6 linked regions of the Rattus norvegicus genome follow. The protein of the gene in region 1 purifies or fractionates together with the protein of each later gene. This does not show direct contact. Links are inferred from orthologs where the notes say so. Each region holds a gene or a part of one and is shown in the gene's direction. Other genes may lie near its edges. The genes, in order: Rbpj, Fhl1, Maml1, Rita1, Fbxo42 and Notch2.

Region 1 (3,500 bases):
GTAGAATTGTGATCTGTGTGGTGTTTTTTGTTTGTGGGTTGTTTTGGGTTTTTGTTTTTTGTTTTTGTTTTTGTTTTTGTTTTTTGGGTCAGGATATATCCCTATAGCCTTGGCTATGCTCTTCTGGAACTCACTGAGTAGACTAGGCTGGCCTCAGACTCACAGAAATCTGCCTTCCTTGCCTGTGAGTAAAGGCATGTACTACTAATGCCTGGATTTGATCAGAGTTTTAGATAGCTATATATAAACAATTATTTTGACTAATAATGCTGTTAATTTCCTTTGTTTTTTTAACTGTACTTCCATGAATATTTTAATATTTGTTCCTTTATCATTTCTGTGTACATATAGCCTTCAGATGCGAAATAAAAGTACATTTTGTGATAATATATTAATCAGTAATATCAAATCATTCAGGTTTGATAATACTAGTTCACCAATGAGTTTTAATATTCAGTGCCCAATAAAACACTAAGATGGGAATGAAGTTCCTGAGAAGGTATTGGCCTAGGTGCTTGAGATGTGCCATGCTGTGTATTTGGTAGCCACTGTAAGCCTGAAAGATCCCTGGTACAGAAGTAAACTGAACCAATTACAAAACATGCCCAGCCAGTATAAGCATCTCTACACGTGGAATGACCTGGACCTGGACCCAGTACCTGGACCATGACCTTGATATTCTTAGCTTCGAGTGTGAGCATGCAAGCATGAACGCTCCTCTTGTTCTCTGTTGCTTAATTAGATATTACAGAAATACCGCAGAGGCTTCCTACTCGCTCCGAACGAACTCTTTCCAGGACACACTTGGGCTGCTCAACCTTTTTTGCCTCAGACTTCCTTGCCATGGTTGATCCCCTTCTAACCAGCCACTGCTTCTGTGCTTTGTCTTCCTTTATTTTAAATGCCACAAGTTACCTCCGTAAGGATGTTTTCCCTGGCTGCCTCAGACAGTCCATATATATATATTTATTTATTTTTTTGGTTCTTTTTTTTGGAGCTGGGGACCGAACCCAGGGCCTTGCGCTTCCTAGGTAAGCGCTCTACCACTGAGCTAAATCCCCAGCCCCAGACAGTCCATATTTTAGCCACCCTATCCTGACTTTTTTTGTAAAGCCAGGATTCTTACTACTAGCTAACAGAGTCTCTATTTTTATATTAACTTTATACCCACCCCCATCCCCGCCTCTTGTTAGTTAAGTTCCATGAGAGCAATTTTGTTTGATGTTGCTGGTTTCATTATATTCCTGGCACCTGGGGGTATAATAGGTATTTGAAGAACTAATAAACACTGAATCATTTCAGCTTACTTCTTGTACATTATATGTGTCAGTTATGTAAAAGCTCACCTGATCAGGGTTGAGTAAAGAAGGTGCTGGTACCTTTGGAGGCAGTTGAGTTCATGTTCTTCTTGGTTTGCTGAAGACGCACACTGCGTATATCCTCACAGACCCGAGACTGTGAGGCACAGGCAAATGTTCTGTTCGTTTGTTTATTTGCTTGTGTGTTTGTTTATCTGTTTTTCTAGCTCTATCTCTATAGTTCTGACTATCCTGGAGCTCACTGTGTAGACCAGACTGGCCCCAAATTCACAGAGCTCTGCCTGCCTCTGCCTCCAAGTGCTGGAATTCAAGGCATGCACCACCATGCTCAACAACACAATTTACTTTTCTTAGTCTGGGGTTCAGGTAAAATTTGACTCCCAGTATCAGTTGACTAGAAGATGTCACTGGCCAGTAGTAGGCCCATGTGCTCATGATTCTGCAGTGTAAGTTAGTACATATCCACATGCGTGGCCATCTTCCCCTGTTACTTTCTTATAATTGGAACTTATTGACTATTGTTACAGTTAGGCTCTTTTGCTTATAGTAGGATTAGCAGAATCAAGAAACACTTATGTATTTATAACTATACAAAAAGTAGGAATTACCAAGAGGGCCTTTTGTTTTAAGAAAGAGGGGAAGAAGGACGGTAGTTCTTTGAGTGAAGATACTTCTACATGTTAACTATACACCTGTTCACCATTTATACTGTTTGCCTGGTCACTAGTCATTTGAGGGGTTGGGGATTTAGCACAGTGAGCGGTTGGGGATTTAGCTCAGTGGTAGAGCGCTTGCCTAGCAAGCGCAAGGCCCTGGGTTCGGTCCCCAGCTCCGGGAAAAAAAAAAAAAAAAACTAGTCATTTGAGTCTTCAGGCCTCTCTAGAAAGGGACAGGACACAACATTTAAGGTATGTACATATCAGTGGGTGTCATTAGGCAGAAGTATATTACATTATCATTGGACAAGTACATTCTGCCCTACATAAGAGATAAATCCATAGTTCCATTGTTAGGTTATAACAAAGTCATTGTATGTGGAGAGAACTTGAGGATGCTTTTTGGGACACAGATGAACAAGTCTGTTGGTAGTCATGAGCTGAAGAAATACGGTGTGTTGTTCTTTTGGTCCAAGAAGTTTCTCAGTCCTGAAAGCAGGTGTTCAGGGGCTAAGGTACATGAAACACGGGCTCTTTATGGAACTCACATCAAGCAGTCTTTTGTCTTTTCCTTAGTTGTCTTACTTGTGATGTTACTTTAATGCTATTTTCCAGGTGAATTGCCAAATAATGTAATATGACAAGAATAGCATTAAAGTTAATGATGCTGTTGTCTTGGCTAGAACTTAGTAATCACAGATTCTGTAGTGATCTATTATGTTTTGTGCCTTGTTTGCCAAATTTCAGTAGAGTAGAGCCTTGAGCTGTAAGAATTCAAAGTTCTGCTTAAAGCAGAACTAATCTAACTAGTGGTCTAAGTCCTCAGTTTTTATTAGAACAGATTAAAAAAAGTTTATTTCAGTCCTTTTGACATGATTTGCTTTATAAATGACCAAAATGTTTTGTAAGGAACCAATTTAGTATATTTAAATATGATTTTGAATTCATATTTGTTAAAAAATGAAGTATGATCTTGAATTTAATTTTTCTGCCATTTTTTCCCCCAGATTTTTTTGCCCTCCTCCTTGTGTGTATCTTATGGGCAGTGGTTGGAAGAAAAAAAAAGAACAAATGGAACGAGATGGTTGTTCTGAACAAGAGTCTCAACCCTGTGCATTTATTGGAATAGGAAATAGTGACCAAGAAATGCAGCAGCTGAACTTGGAAGGGAAGGTAAATTCAAAACATACATTCCGCGTTCATTCTTGCGGTATTTATTTTAGTTTTTTTTCACACCAGTGTTTATTACACTTAATGTGTATATCAGAATCACAAAGACACCTTCAGGATGGCTGTGGCCTGGTGACTCATAGAGTGCATAGGCAGCACCAGAGCTGGAGAGATGGCTCACTGCTTAAGAGCACTGGCTGCTCTTCCAGAGATCCTGAGTTCAATTCCCAGCAACCACATGGTGGCTCACAACCATCTGTAATGGGATCTGATATGCCCTCTTCTGATGTGTCTGAAGAGATCAACAGTGTACTCATATACATAAAATAAGTAAATAAAGGCAGCAGCAGGAGGC
Region 2 (3,500 bases), on another chromosome or scaffold:
GGGTGACTCAAGGAGATCGGGCAGGCTTCCTTGTGTGTGTGTAGTTTGTGTCTACCTAGATACACAAGACAACATTGCATAGGGTTCTTAGAGAAAAGCACGGGCAAGGGCTAGTTTCTCATTTTCTCTATTGACTTGACAGTGATATAACTGTGCCAAGCAAAGGTCATTTTACAGAAATGTCACTCATGTACTTCCTGTGTCAGTTCTCTGACATGAGGGCCTGGGTGGTGGATGTGTCTGTCAGTGGACGTTGTGTATGTTCCATGGCCCTACTTTCCCTTGTGGAGAGAGCCTGACATAAGAGAGTGACAGTCCAAATGAGAGTTCACCAGCCTCGGCCCAAGCGCGTTCCCAGACAAAGGGTGTGGTTTCCTTAGCTCACTCTGCTATTTGGTTGCCCATGGCAGCAGAATCCAAACAACTTGGACATGTGGTTGCTTTTAAAAAAAAAAACCTGGGAATAGAACCCAGAGCAGGAGTTTGGGGCCATTCAGTTGGTGGAAGAGCTGCGGTGAGTAGCAGGCAACTGCTCATTTCTTTCTCCATTCTTTCTCTCAAGTACACGCAGGATGAATAGTTTCAGTTCAAATGGTCTCAGTTCTTGTGGTTCTAACACAAATTAAATAATTACTGTCTATTTACTTATGCAAATTCCTTTTTTAATGGGAGAAGAAAATTAGCATATGTGTAAAGAAAGTGGGACTAATAGAAACCCTTCCTGGTGGCAGGATTCTCTAGAAAAATGACTTGGCAAAGGGACCGACAGCAGAGGACCTTAGCGGGGCTCTGGGCTTCTGTAGGCTTGTTACTTAGGGTTGCCTAGGAACACAGCTGGGGTGCTGGTGGACAGTGAAGGGAGTGGAGGGAGGACGACGTTCTCGGAATGATTGGATTAGCCCTTTGCAAAAGTCGGATTTCCACATTATACTTAAAACTTCTGCTGTGGGGAACAGCGGCTATACCAAAAAGTAATACTTGCTCGGATAGGCCAGCCCTCACTGTCTGGACCCGAGAGAGATTTGACTTTAATGTGTCCCCAAACCATACTTCACTGTGACAAATCATTCATAATTGCAGAGTGTGCCCAGGCCAGGCGAGAATGCCCAGACCTCAGCCACTAGGAAACTATCTGGGACAAAACTCTCTGGGATCTTTTCAAGGAGTAAAACATTTGAAACAAGTTCATGAGGGCTGCATGTGTGCCTGGGTGGGTGGGTGGGTGGGTGGGGAATATGACTTAGCTGTTAAGTTTCTGTTTGGATTAATAGAACTGTATAGACAGGAGGGAAGTGAGACCACCTGAAAATATTTGCCCCCACCCTAAAAGGTGACAGAATATGGCGTCAGAGCTGGCAGGAAGGCTTCTGGCTTGCTGTGTGGTGGGCAGCCGTGGGAGCAGTGGTTCCATGCCCTGCTCTGCCCCATTCTTTTGAACTGTCTGTGCAAGCGAGTAAGACATCTTGTGGACCAGTGCTGTGGTGCACACAGTACACCTGCCTTGCCCAATAGTCTTTTATTTTTTCTGCTCTACCTTACCCTCCCATTCCCCTTTCCATTCTTGGTTACTTTTCAACAATGTGTGAATCTCCCAGAATCCTCCTGTGTGGTGACCTTAGCCAGCATAAGGTCTGGCCCACTTGCTCTCCTCTGAGTCAGCACAGTGATTTCTGACATGTCCCCAGGGAGTTACTGGCCCTTTGTGTGTGACACTTAAGAGTTCGAATCAGAAGCGTTTTCTTCCTGGGAGCCATAGTGAAGCATCTGTTGCTGTGACACTTGGTAATTAGCCAGGCTTAAGTGGAAGCTCCACCCTGAGGACTCGGTTTTCCTAGGTACATGCGCAGTAGTGCACTGGGACCTCCAGGGCCTCGTATGGCTGAGCATCTTTGTGGTCTCCTTACTCATTTGTTCTACTTCTTTGCCCCTATAGGTCCCTCCAGCTATAAGGTGGGCACCATGTCTGAGAAGTTCGACTGTCACTACTGCAGGGACCCCTTGCAGGGGAAGAAGTATGTGCAGAAGGATGGCCGTCACTGCTGCCTGAAGTGCTTTGACAAGTTCTGCGCCAACACCTGCGTGGAATGCCGCAAGCCCATAAGCGCTGATGCTAAGGTAACTGTTGTAGCTGATGGGGCAACGGGGCAGGCTGGGTGGGCTTCAGGTGTTTTCCTGTAGCCTTGCCAGCAGCGCTGCCATTTTGAATTCTCCTCACAGCAGCCTTGACTACTTGAGGCAGGTGTTTCTCATGTCCCTAGCTTAAAATATATATGATATGGTCTTTGGACGCGATGGTCTGTTAAGGCACTGCGAGTATAGGTTTGATAGCCTTTATCTGAAATGGCTAGCAAGAGAAGTGTTTGGCGCTTTTTTTTTTTTTTTTTGGATTTCTTATTTTATAATACTTCTCCATATTTAATGAAGGCTCTTGATAATGATACTCAAGTCTAAACCCAAAATTCATTTACATTTGTAAATGTACATATGTACTCTATGTACATAGCCTGAAGGTGATGTTATACAGTGTTTTTTAAATTAATATAATTCTGTCATTTCCCCCCTTTCCCTTTTCTCCCTCCCACCCCTTTTGAGCATTGCCCAGCTCCTGCATGCTTCCTCTCGAATTCATCCTCTCTGGCCTCCTTTTGTTGTCTGTGGAATGGCATTTATGCACTGCAGCTGAATAGACTGGAGGGTCTTACTTTCCCCAGGGACACAGAATAAACTGTGTGTTGTGCTTTGACACTGTGACTGTGCCCTGGCCCGTGAGACCAGATGTGTCCTTTTCTCCTTCTGAGATCTGTCTGTTAACCCTTAAAGCGCTTGAGATTCCGGAGCCTTTTGGATTGCAGATTTGTGATGGGGGCTTTCCCCCCACTACTCTTATGTGCTTTGGGAACTGGGAGGCTTTCGTCTTCACTACAGTACTACTCTTCCTGTTACTCCTAAAAGCACTCACCACAGGGCATCCCCGCATGGAGGGGGCTGACATTGGCGTGAGTAGTTACCTGGCCCTGGAGAACCTCGTATCTAATGGTAAGGCTGCGGCCACTGGTCCCAGTGCCCCTCACAGTGGCCACCCTGCTCTGCTTGATGTCCAGGAGGTGCACTATAAGAATCGCTACTGGCACGACACCTGCTTCCGCTGTGCCAAGTGCCTTCACCCCTTGGCCAGTGAGACCTTTGTGTCCAAGGATGGCAAGATCCTGTGCAACAAGTGCGCCACTCGGGAGGACTCCCCCAGGTGCAAAGGGTGCTTCAAGGCCATTGTGGCAGGTACTGGCCCCTCCCACCCTGAGGGCAGACATGCTGTGTGCTTGCTTGTCATGTTGGGGCTAACTTTGCTGTGAGCTGCTTTGAGATTTTAGCATATATATGTACCCATATACATACGTGTATATATATGCGTACATATATATGCTCACACACAAGCACACACTCGGAGACTAACGAACACTGGAGAGAACAGTCTGTGGCAAGAGAATGAAGTGAAAAGTATG
Region 3 (3,978 bases), on another chromosome or scaffold:
CAGCCTCATACAGTATGTTCCAGGCAAAAGTCTGGGGTACCTGACACTAAAAGTTTAATGGCTGGGTGTACTTAGTAGTAGTGGCACTATATGCATGAGGCCCTGGATTCAGCCTTCCAGCACTGCACACAAAAGTTGTTTACACTTAGCTTGAGTGCTAATTGTAATGTTTGGGTACCGGTAAGAAGCAGTGCTCATTTATCTTTGCAACTCCCTTCACCAAAGGGAGTTTTTATTTTGTTTTTATTTTTACTGCATTTGTATAAAAACATTTTGCTGTTAGCTTTTTTTCTTGTGATTTTAAAAATAAAATTTTCGTGAACTCCAGTAAGAGGTAACATGTTTGACTGGCTAATGAGGTCTTAAGTGCAAAGCCTCCCAATCATCTATGGCAGTTTGCTCCTCAGTAACCATCTAGAATATGTTTTGGTCCTTTCCTGGCTTTTTACCTTCACTCAATTGCTTGCTAGTGACATCTCTGGAACCCAGTGCTTTGGATTGAATTTTGAGTGATTTAGTTTTATAAATCAGTCGGTTTTAAGTGTATGTTCCTGTGGATCTAAATAACTCTAGTTCCCAATAGGAGGCTAAAGACCATTTAGTGCTCTCCACCCCACCCCCCACTTTAAGTAATGAGATATTGCTCACAGTACCTGTCAGTGATTCCTATCTCTACTAGGTCACTGAAGCTCAAAACAATTCTGATCAATTAGTGATTCCTATCTCTACTAGGTCACTGAAGCTCAAAACAATTCTGATCAATTACAGGGCTGTATGTAAGGAATGAGGTCAGAAATGGCTGGCTTCGAAATATTCTGGATAGACTAAAAAGATAGCATTGAGCATCTGAGTCTTAAGGCTCACTTACTTACCCCGCGTTCCTCACGAACCCGGAAGGGACTGCCTTCAAGGGGGCGGTGTTCTGAAAACGTGGCTCCTCTTGGATAGGTTCCTGTCAGTCACAGTACACTCTGCTACGCTGAGCCCGCCTCGGGGCTTCCCTCCTAGCCTGAGTGTTCAGTTTAAATACCCGAAGATTCCTGACGTGCTTTTCCCCCCACGCCCTCCGGCAGCGGGTTTGGTTTGATTGGCTATAGCTCGGGTCCATCAGCAGTGACGCAGAGTTCGCCGGCCCAGGCCCCGCCCTCTTCCGAAAGCCCCGAAAACAATTTTAAGATGGCGGCGGCAGCGGCGCGGAAAACAATGGGGCAGGGGTATAGCGGACAGGCCGAAGCCTGAGGCGGGCGGTGTTCGCTGGCCTGGAATCGGGCCGAGCGGGACCGGAGGAAGACCCGCCACCGCGCCCGAGTCTGCTCCACAGCCCACCCGGACATGGCGCGGCCGTGAGGCGGATCCGGGCCGCCAAAAGCGGAGGAACCCGAAGTGCCAGCCGGCGCCGGGAGGCCCGGGCCGGGCCAGCGCCGCCCGCGGCCCATGGTGCTACCCACCTGCCCCATGGCGGAGTTCGCGCTGCCGCGGCACAGCGCGGTCATGGAGCGCCTCCGCCGACGCATCGAGCTGTGCCGGCGCCACCACAGCACCTGTGAGGCCCGCTACGAGGCTGTGTCTCCCGAGCGCCTGGAGCTCGAACGCCAGCATACCTTTGCCCTGCACCAGCGCTGCATCCAGGCCAAGGCCAAGCGCGCCGGCAAGCACCGGCAGCCGCCCGCCGCCGCCACGGCCCCGGCAGCCGCTCCGGCCCCCGCCCCGGCCCCAGCGGCTGCGCGCCTGGACTCAGCGGACGGCCCGGAGCACGGCCGCCCGGTCGCGGTGAGTAAGGCTGGCGCCTGCCACAGCAGTACTCACTCCCGAAAACGCCTCTTCCGGCTCGGATCGGGCCTCGGGGAAACTTCCCCGAGCGCCCCCATTTCTTAGTCTGGGTCCTGGGAGGAGGCTAACATGGCAGGGCGCTTGTCATCTTCGAGAAGTGGCACTGCGGTGTACTTTTTGGGAAAACGTCCCCGTGAGGACTTTGAGCGAAGTCGGGGCTGGAAAAGCAGGAGAAGGTTAGTTGCTGATAGGCTTTTCTCCCAAACGATTTCCAACTGATGAGAACTTCGACTCGTGTTGGAGTTGCCTAGGATATAGGGCGTTCTTGCACCTTAGGCCTGGCCTCAATTAATCTGCCGATGTTGATTGGATCTTTGCTTCGTGGAGGTTAGTTAAGGCTTTAATGTGGAAATAAGTCTCCCTTCAGTTGACAGTATCCTGCGGCTTCTGAATAGAAAATCGAAAAGCCTTTGGAAGCTTCAGTAAACTGAAGTGCATAAAAGGCATTCTTCCCCCACCCCCTAAAGGGAATTTGCGAACGCGAGATTCCTGCTATACTATTGACAGTTCCAAATTTAACCTACTAAGCTTGTTAAAAACTTCTGATAATATTAATAGTTGTTAACGGAGGAAATGACGTTACTTGTTGGTCAGCTGTGCCCTTTGGGTTTTAGTTGCTAATCCTGAGATTTATTGGTTAGAAGTTTTGACTCCCTGAAACTGATTTATAAACCGGAAACCTGTTTGGAGGGGGAGGGGCAATGGGTGTTACAAAATTCTTGGTAAAGTTTAAAAGTCAAATTTTACAACACTTAAGTTGTTCGGTAATTCTAATTCATGTCTTCATAGTCTCTCACTTGGTCCGTTGTAAAACTCTTTCCTAACTAATGGTTAGTCTTTCAGTCACTTAATACGCTTCCTCTGAAATGTTAGAAACCCTTCTGTGGCTGGAGGGAATTGAGTTAAATCTTTGGTTGGCTTTCGGGACCAGCTTGACCTAGCCTATCTTTCCATGTGCCAAAGAGCTATTGTTTCCCTTCTTCCCCACACTATACCCACTGCAGGGCGAGAAGTCAGAAGAACACTTGGGTTCTGACCCAGCTGCTCGAGTCTTTTCATCCTCACTTTCCCCGCCTGTACATCCAGGGTATGTTGGGCTTCTTACTAGTTTTCTTGAAGGAATCAAATGAGTTTGAGGTTAGGTGTGGTGATTCACGCCCAGAGGCAGGAGGAAAGAAGACATGAGTATGGATGTGAGCGAATTTCTCAAACTAAAAGGCTGCCTGCAGAGTTTTTGTCAGCATTTTCAGGATCCTGCCATCCTTCCTGCCACAGCCCATCTTCTTTTGCAGTTTCTGAAAAACCAGCCCACAGTAGAATCTCCTCTCTCAATACAGTTATGAGATATATGTGTATATATATATATACATAGCTATATATCTATCTGTATGCTTTTTTGTTGTTGTTTGGTTTGCTTTTTTTTTTTTTTTTTAAGACAGTTTCTCTGTGTGCCCTAGCTGTTCTGGAACTCACTCTGTAGACCAGGCTAACCTCAAACTCAGAGATCCACCTGCCTCTGCCTCTGGAGTATTGGGATTAAAGAGGTACACCACCACTGCCCAACTTACGCCCTTTGTTTTTAGCACATAGTCACATATTACTTCAACCATCCTGTGTCTTGACAAGTAGACTGTAAGCTTTGGACCCTGAGAAGGCTTGGGCTAAGTTCCATTCATATTTTTTTTTCCTTTTTTCTTTTTTTTTTTTCGGAGCTGGGGACCAAACCCAGGGCCTTGCGCTTGCTAGGCAAGCGCTCTACCACTGAGCTAAATCCCCAACCCTCCATTCATATTTTAGGCCATCCATATACTTGTTGATAACCAACTTGGGTGTGCTTTACCCAAAATGACTTAACTGAATGAGTCACCTTACTAACCAATCTTTCTTGAAAGATCTCCACCTTCGCCCCAATCCCTTTGGGGGATTGAGCATAAGACATTGTACTTATTGTTTGTCTTAGTTGGGGTGTCTATTGCTATGAGGAGAGACCATGACCACAGCAGTTTGATTGGGGCTGCCTTACAATTCAGAGGTGGGAACCATGGTGGCAATGCAGACAGACATGGTGCTGGAGAGGAGGCTGAAAGTTCTACATCTAGATGTATAGGCAGCAGGAAGAGAGAGTGACACTGGGCCTGGCTTGAGCAT
Region 4 (4,016 bases), on another chromosome or scaffold:
GCTGAGCCTCAGCAAAACCCTTGGTCTGAACCACGTGAGCAGCTTTATTGTATTTGCCGATGAACACATGCCTTCTCATTGCCTCTAGCAGTGTTTGCACATTTACTGACCACCTAATTTACTGACTGAGCTGGGAAGGAGAAATGGAGAACTAGAGATACCCGCTAAGCACAAGACGACGGGCATCGTGAACGGTAGGCTTTTCGGCTCCACTTGGCGCTCACGCCTGTCTCCCCAAATGGCTACATATGGAACCAAGACCATCCCCAGTTTCAATCCTGCTGTCCCCTCTGTCAGTGCTGATGAGCCTTGCACAGTTGAAGCACCACAAAAGTCCGTAAATACTAGGTTAGTTTAAAACCCGCTTCTCAGAAGTGTGGTCCGGTCTCTCCTTTAATTTTACCATCTAAGACCGCCCAAAACTCAGGCGGACCTTCCGCACATGCACTTTCTATTGGCTGTATAAACTGGACCCCGCCCCCTACGCGAAGAGACCCAATAAGGGCCCGCGATTAGTGAGACGGACGGGCGGAAGGGCGCAGGCCGAGGGCCCGACCAGGACCCCCGCGTTATTACCTTCCGCGCCCGGGCGTCATCCTCTGCTTGGATCTCGAACTCGCCGTCCTCCGAATCGCTGTCGCGGGCCTGGGAAGCCCCAGTTCGGCGTTTCCGCAGCCTCTTCTTCTTCCACGGAGCCATGGCGGGATGCGACCGCGGGCCAAGCCCCACACGTCTGCCGGCAGCCATGCGGGCCGGGCACTCGGACCCGGAAGAGGGCGGAGCCTGTGGGACGCATGAGTGGCGTCGGGGACGAAGGCGGGGCCTAAGAGTTGTACCAGCCGGGCAGAGGCGGGGCCTGAGGGACATACCAACTAGTGGGGGCGGATTGTACCAACTGAACAGTGATAGGCGCTTAGGAGACCTACTAATTTGCAAGGACACCAAACGCTAATAGTTAGGATAGATGTGGAGAGAGCAGAGCCTCAGGAACATACAACTCAACGTGTGGAAGCTTTGAGGAATGTACCAACTACGCAGGGCAGCCCCCCAGGGCGGGGCCCAATGGATGCACGCATGAGAGGGGGTGTGGCCCGTGGAACGTACCATCAGCGCGAGGGCGGGATGTACCAGTGCGCAGGGGCGGGGCTTCACTCCTGTTGCCCAGCAAGGGCTGTATGTGGGCGCGTGTCGCCGGGGCGCGGCTGCGGATTTTGTGCTATGCGGGCATTTGTGGCGAAGATTATGCTTGCTGGCCAGAGGTCCCAGTAGGAAAAGCTCCTAGCATGAAATTCCCGGGACGCCTGCGCTTTCCGCTTTGTAAGCTGTCTGGTGTGTGCTACTCCGCTGTTTGGAGCCTGAGTTGTAATTGGGGAAAATGGATTTAATCTGAAGGACCGGTTGGCGAGGACTAGAACGCACCACGCTTGCAAAGCGCTTTGCACAAGGTAGGCATGGGGGCGACAGTGGCTTGGGAGCCCCTTTCCCTCTTCCACCGTAATTAGTTTGTCTGGTGCCATTCCCCTGCACGCCCATAGTCGTTCTATAAATATTTGTTGAGCATACACTGTAGGCTATAATTGTGTATCTATTTATTCATTAAATATTTGCTGACGGCATTTCCCCCTGTCACAACTAAGAAGACAGGAGTGCCTGCTTAGCCTGCGGCATGCACAAAGCACGGGGTTCGAACCCATGCACCTCAGACGCCAGGCGGTCGTGCAGTTCTTCGTGGGAAGTAGAAGCGGGAGGATCCGGAGTTAAAGGTCATTCTTGGCTATATAATAGACTTCAATATAATGGGTTTCAGGCCACCTTGGGCTACTGAAACCGGGTAGGGGAGGGGCCAGAAAGTGAAGCATTTCCGAGGTGCCCACTGAACAACAGTCGCTTTCCCTCAGCAAGAAAAAGCCCCCTTTGCCCTTGGGTTTGTTATTGCAAGAAGCTACTCTTACTTGGCCCTGCCCTTAGCTCACTCTGACCCTCCAGGGAGCCCTGGAGGCTGAATCTGGCAGGCACAGTAAATCCACTGGGCAGCCTGAAGACCCCGGTGGAGGTGGAACTGGCCCAGCGTCGGAATGCAGGCACTCCACCTTCAGCACCGCAACCCGCGCAGCTACCGGGTCAAGGCCAGGGCATCCTATGTGGATGAGACCCTGTTTGGCAGCCCAACAGGAACCCGGCCAACTCTACCAGACTTTGACCCACCCTGGGTGCAGAATTGTAACAGATCTAGAGGAGTGAGCCCAGGACCCCCGAAGGTCTCTCTGGCCAAGAGAGACTGTGAGTCTCCCTCCTCCAGGGGCAGCACCCCAAATCTCACACCAAGGAAGAAAAACAAATACAGGTAAGGTTGGGGGTGGTAGCATTGCACTCCTGTACTGAGGGTGGCCGTCTTGGTCCCTTTCCTGATTGCCCTGATGAAATACTCTTGGCAGAAGAAACTTGGGCAAGAAAGGGTTTATTCTGGCTCACAGACGGCTTGAGTGGCTCTCCGTAGTTATAAGAAGTCTCAGCAGTGTGGGGTGGAGATGGCTGGTCATGTTGTGTGTTTGCTGCTCAGCACTTTCTCTTACTTTCAGTCCCAGGGCATGTGACCCACCTCTTCTGACATCTGGGGCATGTGCATCTGACACCCCACATGGTGCACACGGACTTGCCTGTGGGTGCGCATGCACATTAAACACCAGTGCTAAAGGGAAGGCCTGTCGTAGGCATGCCCGAGGGCCAGCCTGACTTAGCGGATCACTCTCTGCGGGCCGCTCTCCGTGGTTCTAGATCCTGCCAAGTTGACAGTTGAAACTGACCATCAGAGTAGCTGTCAGGCCTCCTGGGACTGAGTGCTAGGGACCTGCTGTGTGGCCATGGCCAAGCGCCTTGGTTCTCTGAGCCGTGTGTTTCCTCATGGCACATGGGATGAGTGTCGCTGTTAAATGAGACTTGGGGCAATGTTGGCACAGCAACCGGTGCTTGGGAAGGTCTGGATGAACGGTGGTGTGGGCTGGTGAGACGGCTCAGTGGGGAAGGGTTCTTGCCTCGAGCGCCTGGTGGCCTAGGATTGCTGGAACCTTCATAAAGGTGGAAGAGAACTGACTCCAGAGTTGACCTCTGACCTCCACTTGTGCGCCTCTGTCTGCATACACACACACATACCCACACCATACACAGGACAATAATAATAAAAATTTTTAAAAATCTTCAAAGGAGATTTTTTGGGGGAAAAAACTATTCAACCAAAGAAAAAAATGTATCTCTATTGAGCTCATATGGACTTTTTTGAAAAAGGTACAATTGTATTTGGCTGTTTTTGGGTTGGGGGGCGTATACTGGTAGAGGTCAAAGGACAACTTATAGGAGTCAGTTCTTTCCTTCTACCATGTGGAGCCTGAGGATCAAAACTCGGGCTGTCAGTCTTGGCCACAAGCACCCTTACCCACTGAGCCATCTTGCTGGCCCACGTTCCTATTGTCCCTAAACAAGTGTCTGCTACTTCTGTTTATGAAGCACTTAATGGACCTAATTGCTCCATTAATCTGGAGCCGAGCAGATTCAGGAGGGTGTCTGTCATTTGATGCACAAGACTTGAGCGTGTACGGATAGAGATTCATGGGGGGGCGGGGCAGAGGGGGCTGGAGTGGCCTACCCTGTTCCCCCACCTCCACCATATCAATGAATGACCATATCGGGACTCTCGATGGTGAGGCTCATATGAGGTGCTCCTCTTAGGACTGCTCCCCTCTCTAGGAGATGAGACAGAGAAGCCCCAAGCTGTTTTGGGCTGATACCTGTATTAAAGAATAAGTCCGGTTCTGCTGCTTTGGTGTCTGGTGGGCAGTGAGGTTGTAGAGGGCTTTAAGGTCATTGCCCTTCTCTTTTCCAGGTTGATTGGCCACACCCCATCCTACTGTGATGAGTCACTGTTTGGCTCCCGGCCACAGGGCACCAGCAAGGAGAGGTCTCGGACAGCCGTGGAGGATGCGGCCAAGCTCCGGACCCTTTTCTGGACCCCACCAGCCACC
Region 5 (3,500 bases), on another chromosome or scaffold:
TTTAAGATTATATGGGACTTGTGTGCCATTCTAGGGGGAGGGAGGATGCTATGGGCTTGGCATTTGAACTCCACCTATCAAATTAATATGGACCCAACCAGTATGGGAAGGTGTGGAGCAGTTTCATGCTGTGCGAAGGGGACCATGAGCAACTCAGGGGCTCAGTGTTTGTGTGCTTCTGCAGGCTGTACACTGATGTTTACTTCTTACCCTCTAGAGCTTCAAGTGTGTGTCATGGCCAGCTCCTCAGACAGTGAAGATGACAGTTTCATGGCCGTGGACCAAGAAGAAACTGCACTGGAAGGGACAATGGAGCAAGATGAGGACCCACACCCAGTATTGGAGGTTGAGGAAACAAGACATAATAGGTCCATGTCTGAGCTGCCAGAAGAGGTTTTGGAGTATATCCTGTCCTTCCTCTCACCATATCAGGAACACAAAACCGCAGCTCTGGTCTGCAAGCAGTGGTATCGGCTTATCAAAGGTACAAGTGTTTCAAAGAGGTGTGTGTGTGTGTGTGTGTGTGTGTGTGTGTGTGTGTGTGTGTGTCTGTCTGTCTGTCTGTCTGTCTGTCTGTCTCTGTGTATGTACATGTGTGCAGGTGCCTATGGAGGCCAGGAGAGAGCATCAGATCCACTGGATCTTGAGTTACAGGATCTGTGAGCCACCTGTGTGGGAGCTGGGATTGAACTCTGTCTCCTACAAGAACAGCGAGAGCTCAACCACAGAGCCCTGGCTGTGTCCATTCTTAGTGAGCAGTTTAGCTTTAGACTCCTCCCTCCCTGTCTTCTCTCCCTTAAAGACATTGTATTTAAAGAGTTGAATTTAGTATTAGATAAGTTAACACAGTTTTCTTCCTGTCTTGGTTAATTTATGAACAGCTAGAATACTAATTTAGTATTTGCATCTATATCCGTGTTTTATGTACAATGCCTGGTGCTTGTGGAGGTCAAAGAGGGCATCAGACCTCCAGAACTGGAGTTACAGATAGCCGTAGGCCTGGTAAGTGTGTCTGTTAACCGTGACTGTGTATATATGTATGTGTTGTATGTACTCGTTAGTGTGAGTACATGTATGTGAACGTATGTGTGTGGCCACCAGAGGTTGACTTTTAGTGTCTTTCCTCAATTGCTCCTGATCTTCATTTTTTTAAAATATTTTTTAATCCCCATTTCTAGTGGGGATAATGGAGATATTTTAATATATGCTTAAATATAAAGGAAGAGAGAGAGGTGTGCTGGACAGGTGGCTTAACATGGCACGTGGCTTTAATCCCAGCCCTCAAGAGTTCACGGCTGGATTTTGTGAACTTCACATAGGTGCTAGGAATCGAACTCAGGACCTCAGGAAGAGCAGCCAGTGCCCTTAACCACTGAGCCATCTCCAGCCCACTCAAGCTCTTAACCTTTAAGAGACAGTTCTTAGACATAGTCAACATCTCATAACCTGTTACGTAGTAATCTACTTATATGATCTCGCTTAACTGGAGAATTCTGATTGTTGTGATCCAACCGCAGATGCTTTTTAAGCAGCTGTTGTGCTGTAGACAGTGCTTTGTCGTATTTCTTCGCAAAGATGAGTCATTTCTCAGCCCCTCTGCTTTGCAGTAAAGGCCACCAGTTTCTTTATTGCCTCGTGGTAAACATGAGGACAAGGATGATCACGTGACCTGATGCAGTAACTCTCTTAACTGTCTATGGCTTGATAAAAGCAGTTCTTTCCATTTTGACATTCCTTGATTGTTTCCTTTCTTTGAACAAAAATGAGAAATTTCGACTTCCTCAAAACATTTATGACATACACTGTGATACAACAGTTTAAAAAGACAATTGTAATGATTTCCCCTTTGAAGTTAGTATCTAAGCTGATGCCTTTGGTTTTTCTCATCTTTAGGTGTAGCCCACCAGTGTTACCATGGTTTCATGAAGGCTGTCCAGGAAGGAAACATTCAGTGGGAGAGCCGAACTTACCCTTATCCCGGAACCCCCATCACTCAGCGCTTCTCCCACAGTGAGTACCCATGGTGACAGAGCAAGTCCCACACTGCCTGTGCTGTGTTTCTAGAAATGGTCTTGGAGGCATGCCTTTGTCTGGCTTTTTTTTTTTCTTTTCTTTTTTTTCGGAGCTGGGGACCAAACCCAGGGCCTTGCGCTTGCTAGGCAAGCGTTCTACCACTGAGCTAAACCCCTAACCCCCTTTGTCTGGCTTTTAAGTGAAGAGACGGTAAAGTGAGAGTTCCTAACAGAATGAGGAAGAAGTGAGTGTGGACATGAGGTACGGCCTGATGGAGAACTCAGCGGCACAGGGCTTGCCCAGGAAGGCCCAGGTTCAGTTCCGTCCCTGACACCCTGACAGATACAGTGCTAGGGCTTGTTAATGTTACATTATGCTGTTTAATTTGACTGTACTCCTGCTTCAGCTCCTGAAGGTGATGGTTTCGGGCATGTGCCACCATCCCTGTCTAGAGTTTGAGCTTTTGGTAGGAAGGAGCATGTATTGGTTACCCAGGCCATAAAAAAGCAGCCCTAAAACGTAGCAGTTTAAACAGTATTTCTTACCTGTTCTTGAAGGTCTGAGATTTGGAGATGGTCATGATTTCTGATTTAGAAGTGTCATTGAGAGAGGCCTAAGGGGTTTTTTGTTTGTTTTTTAAAGATTTATTTATTTCATGTATATGAGTACACTATCGCTGTCTTCAGACACACCAGATCCCATTACATGTGGTTGTGAGTCACCATGTGGTTGCTGGGAATTGAACTCAGGACCTCTGACCACTGAACCATCTCTCCAGCCTGTGGCCTAAGGTTTTTGTTTTTTGTTTTGTTTTGTTTTGTTTTGTTTTTTCTTTTCTATTTTTCGGAGCTGGGGACCGAACCCAGGGCCTTGTGCTTGCTAGGCAAGCGCTCTACCACTGAGCTAAATCCCCAACCCCTGGCCTAAGGTTTTTACTGATAGAACCTGTCACACTGTCAGCTGCTTACTGTATTACTGAGAGGGTGTCTGAGACAGAAGCTAGAGTAGTCTTCACAATCTCTGAACTAAGTGCATCTCTTCTGTTCTATTTTCTTGGTCACACAGAGATTGACAGGAGTTGTAAACACCAGGAGGTGAGGCTCCTCAGTGCCACCAGCCCCCAGATCTTTTGCTATACTTGTCTGAAGATGTTCAGAAATAGTTAGGACTTGTTTCTTGCTTTGGTGTTGGATGAAAGTAGACCAAGGAGACAGATGAAGGGAGCTACCCATTCACTAATGCTGCTCAGGGGGGGACACCTATGAGCCCTCCATGGGACTTGATGAAATCAGAACTGTGAGTGTGTGACAGTGAAGAACGCTGGTGTGTGACAGTGAGGGCTGGCGAGATGGCTCAGCAGGTGAAGGGGCTTGCTGCTGTCATTACCTGAGTTCCATCTCTAGGAGCCACATGGTGGAAGAAAGCCAACTCCTGCTGGTTGTCTGTTAACTGAGAGTTGTCCTCTGACCTCCACACTTATACTGTGG
Region 6 (3,975 bases), on another chromosome or scaffold:
CTTGTGCTTGCACAGCAAGCCCTCTTACCCTCTGAGCCATTTCCCCAGATCCTAAAGCACTTCTCAAAATGCAGTTTTAATGTTCACACCCATATTCACTTGTATTCTGCATTCTAGGTCACCATCTACTATGTGATAGGCACTGATGGTGACGACCATGGTCTTTGGCGGTAAAGATTTCGCAGTGTAGTTAAGACAGAAATAGATAGTCCTGTGTGGTTCATGCAATTCCTTGTAGTGGCCAGTTTCATATACTCTACAAACTCATCTATACCCAGGCTAGATCACAGTCCACACTCACGTTGGAAAGAACTAGTTAGGGTTATAGCTTTATCTGTCATTTAAAAACGATGTACACAAACAACCATAAGATATGTGAATGGTATTCTTAGAGTCTTGCTCTGCAATTTGTGTTTTCATCATCATTTTGGTTTTACGGTTGACGTATATGAAGGTGATATTTTCAGTCGTATTGCACCTCACTTATAATTACGAATTATTCACCTAGCCCCCAAGGGTGGGGCATTTAGGTCACTCTTAACTCGCAGCTATTAATAGGTTACAAAGAGTATTCTGGTTCTTACCATTTTCTACACTTTGACTAGAGTTTCAGGCTTCTGTTGTCAGGATACCTGTCTTTTGAAAGCCTCCCCTAAATTATCCTAGACCCTAGAGTGGATGATCCCAGGGTCCCAAGCATCTTGCTACAGGAAGTTCACTAAAAGAACCAAAGATGGATGGATGAATAGATGAATGAACGAAATGCCCAGAGCATCTCAAGGAATGTCCCCTTAAGAGGACTTTGGCGCCTACTTTCCGTTGACAGCCCCGTGTCTGCTCTCCCTCATTTCTCTAATCAGCCAAGGAGTGTGTGGGTGTGTGGGGCATGAGGTCTGCCTCTCTTTACAAGTTCAGGATCCGCGCAAACCCTCGCGTTTGATGTTGGTCGCTTCAGCCAACCCCTTATCGGAGCTCACGGGCGGGCCAGGCGGCCGGGCGGGCCGAGTACCAAGTGCTGTTCGCTCAGATCCCTCCGCGCGCAGCGGACCGGCGCTTCTTTCTGCGGGAAACCCCTGGGCACGCGGCGGCGACGGGGGCGGAGCCTCGCGGTGGGAGGAGGCCGAGGCGGAAGGACACGCGGGCCACTCTGCCGCGCGGCTCAGCCAGAAACTTTCAGCCAAACTTCGGGCGGCGGCCTGGCTGCGCGGAGTGCCGGGGCGGCGTAGCGGCAGCTCCTGGACTCGGCGAGCCGCGGGGGCAGGGTAGAGCACGCGAGAGCGGGGCTCCTGGTCGGGACCCGCTCCCCATGCGGATCTGCTTTGGCTGCGGCAGTGAAGATGCCCGCTCTGCGTCCCGCCGCGCTGCGGGCGCTGCTGTGGCTCTGGCTGTGCGGCGCGGGCCCCGCGCACGGTGAGTACCAGGCGCCCGGGAGACCATCCCTCTGCCACTGCGCGCTCCGGGGGCTGCGCCTTCCAAACTGCCTGGTCCGGGCCTCGAGTCTTGGCAACGCGTAGCGTCTCGGGTTCCGCGTTAGCGGGGTCTCGGGCGAGCAGCTCGCGGGCCGAGGTGCGAGTATGATTGGGAGGGCGGCGGGGGCTTGCGGCGTTCCCAACTTTTGACACCCGGATCGGTCGGTCTGTCCGGAGGAGGAGTTGGGCGTGGGGCTTAGGTCTTGGAGAGGTGGAGGCAGCAGTGGGGGAACTGGTGTGGCAGCGTGCTGAGCCACATGATTGAAAATCTCAACTGCTGTTATTCTTTCCGAGGCGCGGAGCTCGGCTGCGGTTCCAGTGTGCGTCCAGCCCCAGGAATGTGGTGTGACGATCCCCAACTCCTCCGACCTGGCAGCAGCTTGCTGCTCTTTTGGCACCGTTGGGGGTGGGGCAGGGGCGGGGGCAGGCGAGGAAAAGTGGAGACAGTGGTTGATTCGTAGCGCTTGCTTAGAAAGGCTCGTTATGGTGGGATATTCCTTGCCCCCTCTCTAACACGGTGGGAGCCAGGAAAGGAAATCGAATCATACTTTGCCCATTCCACCCACATCTTTAGATCTTACGTTTCTTTGGAATGTTGTATGGAAAGAACTTTGGAGCCCAGCTCTGTAATCCTGGATTCAAATCTGCTGTATTAACTCACCAATAAAATGGGGATGAAATTACCCAGCTAATAGGATTAATTAAAAGAATGTATATTAAACCCGTAGCGCTTAAAAGATATTGAGAAAAGTTCTTTTAGGACAGGGGCAGCGGTTTGGTCTTTCTGGGTGAAGTTTGTGCTTCCAGTGGGGAGTATGACTTGTACACAGTGTTCGATGAACTGGTAGGGTCCTCCTTTAACTCAAGAACAGTTAGCTTTTTACCAGAAAACCCCTACGACATCTTTTTCAGAGAAAGGATGAGTTTCAGAAAAATCCGGGCTTTGTTCATTGTAGCAAGCAGCGGACATGCCAATTCCAGATGCTTTGAGGACTCGATTATTTATCACCTGCAAACAGTGCTGGCTTGTTCAGCATCAACCAGATACTTTTTGAAAAGTTCAAATGACTTACATTGCTGGGTCCGCAGGTTGTCAGAAGTGGACCAAGGAGCCTGTTTAGGATGAACGGTTTCCAAGACTTTTCCTAAAAACTCAACGATGGCATTTTGCCTTACCCTTTTTCTTTGAATGAAGCTGTTAGCCCTAAGTGTAGATTTAGGGTAAAGAGGTGTATAATTAGTGTGATTTTTCTGAGGATTACAGTGCTTGGTTCCCCCGTGACTTGTTTTACACAGTAAATAACTTTAGTCTTCATGATCTGTGTCTTTCCCTTATGAAAGAGGATTAAAAGCATAACTTTTTTTTTTTTCTGAGTACTTTGGGGACTAATACCTAGGGCCGTAAAGAGACTCACCAGTCACTGGCAACAGAAACAGGATGAGGCTGGTCCATGGGCTTTCCTGACGTGTTGAACCCCAGTGCATTCAACTGATGCCCCTGCTTCTGCTCTTGCTGGCCTTTACTATCCCTGGGGGTCAAGTTGAGTGTTAGTCCAGCTGGCTCAAATTTAGGTATTTTGGGTTTTAGACAGATGTTCTTTAGATGCTAAACTATTCTCATAAAAGAGATTAAAGAGTTCGTTGCTGTTGCAAATCTTAAATCTTCCCAGGGTCTAGCAGGGAAGCTTCCTAATCTATTATGGGGGTATTTTGCCAAGGTACCAATTATAACTCTCCCTCCCTAACTTTTGAGTGTTCCCATGTTTGGCTTGTGGCCAGTTGTTAATTTGAACATCACTGATTCCTAAGGCAAGGAGCTGTCAACCCATCTGTGTGAGCTTCTGAACGGCTCTGGACCACCCCTTACTTTTGTTTTTTCTTTGCTCTGCAGTGGGAGTGATTCCCTGGTTTTACTGTCACCTAGACACTTTGTCAGTTGAATCCCTATCACAAAAGAGCAAGCTTTTTTCCTTTAGGGTGAGATGAAATTCACCCTGTAACTATTTCCCGTTTTTCTTTCTTGGAGGGAGGAGGGAGCGATTGGTTACAGAATCTCTCATTTTATGGTGTTTGAAAAATATATACCGGTATTTTGTTGGGATCTCTTTTCTTCCTCCTCTGTGGATTTGTGTTGCCCAGAGGGGCAGCCTTGGCTCACCCAGGCTGTCACTGATTTCAGGACCTTTAAAGAATGTCTAAGTGCAGTGGGATATGCTTCGATGCTTGAGAGCAACCTTACAATACATTTTAAAAATATCACACCCACAGAAATTTTATTTTGCCCACAAAATTTGCATTGATCTAGTTCCCACTCTGCCATTCCTGGTGACCTTCCTCCCTGCCCCTTCCATTGTGGAGGCCAAGAGCTAGCTGCATGTCCTGGCTGCAGCAGACCCATTGCTGTGGGCCCTACACTCAGCACCCTTGTGTTCTGACACAGGAGGCCTGAGAATCTGTAATAATAATAATAATAATAATAATAATAATAATAATAATAAAAGGCTTT

The links.
Region 2: the proteins of Rbpj (region 1) and Fhl1 purify together in Homo sapiens (affinity purification with western blotting; 4 studies listed by BioGRID and IntAct, with this or other methods). This does not show direct contact. The link is inferred for Rattus norvegicus from reciprocal best matches to the Homo sapiens genes RBPJ and FHL1.
Region 3: the proteins of Rbpj (region 1) and Maml1 purify together in Homo sapiens (co-immunoprecipitation; 12 studies listed by BioGRID and IntAct, counting the BioPlex papers as one, with this or other methods). This does not show direct contact. The link is inferred for Rattus norvegicus from reciprocal best matches to the Homo sapiens genes RBPJ and MAML1.
Region 4: the proteins of Rbpj (region 1) and Rita1 purify together in Homo sapiens (affinity purification with mass spectrometry; 4 studies listed by BioGRID and IntAct, with this or other methods). This does not show direct contact. The link is inferred for Rattus norvegicus from reciprocal best matches to the Homo sapiens genes RBPJ and RITA1.
Region 5: the proteins of Rbpj (region 1) and Fbxo42 purify together in Homo sapiens (affinity purification with mass spectrometry; 3 studies listed by BioGRID and IntAct, counting the BioPlex papers as one, with this or other methods). This does not show direct contact. The link is inferred for Rattus norvegicus from reciprocal best matches to the Homo sapiens genes RBPJ and FBXO42.
Region 6: the proteins of Rbpj (region 1) and Notch2 purify together in Homo sapiens (affinity purification with mass spectrometry; 3 studies listed by BioGRID and IntAct, counting the BioPlex papers as one, with this or other methods). This does not show direct contact. The link is inferred for Rattus norvegicus from reciprocal best matches to the Homo sapiens genes RBPJ and NOTCH2.

What each region holds. Positions count from the first base shown.
Region 1 is NC_086032.1:61,563,261-61,566,760, reverse strand, and holds part of Rbpj (recombining binding protein suppressor of hairless), read left to right. Parts: intron 1-2,982; coding exon 2,983-3,148; intron 3,149-3,500. UniProt on the Homo sapiens protein: Transcriptional regulator that plays a central role in Notch signaling, a signaling pathway involved in cell-cell communication that regulates a broad spectrum of cell-fate determinations.
Region 2 is NC_086039.1:139,644,996-139,648,495, forward strand, and holds part of Fhl1 (four and a half LIM domains protein 1), read left to right. Parts: intron 1-384; exon of another isoform or gene 385-514; intron 515-1,933; coding exon 1,934-2,115; intron 2,116-3,101; coding exon 3,102-3,276; intron 3,277-3,500.
Region 3 is NC_086028.1:35,121,301-35,125,278, reverse strand, and holds the start of Maml1 (mastermind-like protein 1), read left to right. Parts: upstream 1-1,178; 5' UTR 1,179-1,434; coding exon 1,435-1,770; intron 1,771-3,978. UniProt on the Homo sapiens protein: Acts as a transcriptional coactivator for NOTCH proteins. Has been shown to amplify NOTCH-induced transcription of HES1. Enhances phosphorylation and proteolytic turnover of the NOTCH intracellular domain in the nucleus through interaction with CDK8.
Region 4 is NC_086030.1:41,609,748-41,613,763, forward strand, and holds the start of Rita1 (RBPJ-interacting and tubulin-associated protein 1), read left to right. Parts: upstream 1-1,216; 5' UTR 1,217-1,445; intron 1,446-1,637; exon of another isoform or gene 1,638-1,640; 5' UTR 1,641-1,763; intron 1,764-1,986; 5' UTR 1,987-2,075; coding exon 2,076-2,344; intron 2,345-3,877; coding exon 3,878-4,016. Other genes in the region: ATP-dependent RNA helicase DDX54, read right to left, coding at 577-747. UniProt on the Homo sapiens protein: Tubulin-binding protein that acts as a negative regulator of Notch signaling pathway.
Region 5 is NC_086023.1:158,754,665-158,758,164, forward strand, and holds part of Fbxo42 (F-box only protein 42), read left to right. Parts: intron 1-217; 5' UTR 218-234; coding exon 235-484; intron 485-1,893; coding exon 1,894-2,010; intron 2,011-3,500. UniProt on the Homo sapiens protein: Substrate-recognition component of some SCF (SKP1-CUL1-F-box protein)-type E3 ubiquitin ligase complex. Specifically recognizes p53/TP53, promoting its ubiquitination and degradation.
Region 6 is NC_086020.1:188,298,161-188,302,135, forward strand, and holds the start of Notch2 (neurogenic locus notch homolog protein 2 precursor), read left to right. Parts: upstream 1-1,175; 5' UTR 1,176-1,337; coding exon 1,338-1,410; intron 1,411-3,975. UniProt on the Homo sapiens protein: Functions as a receptor for membrane-bound ligands Jagged-1 (JAG1), Jagged-2 (JAG2) and Delta-1 (DLL1) to regulate cell-fate determination.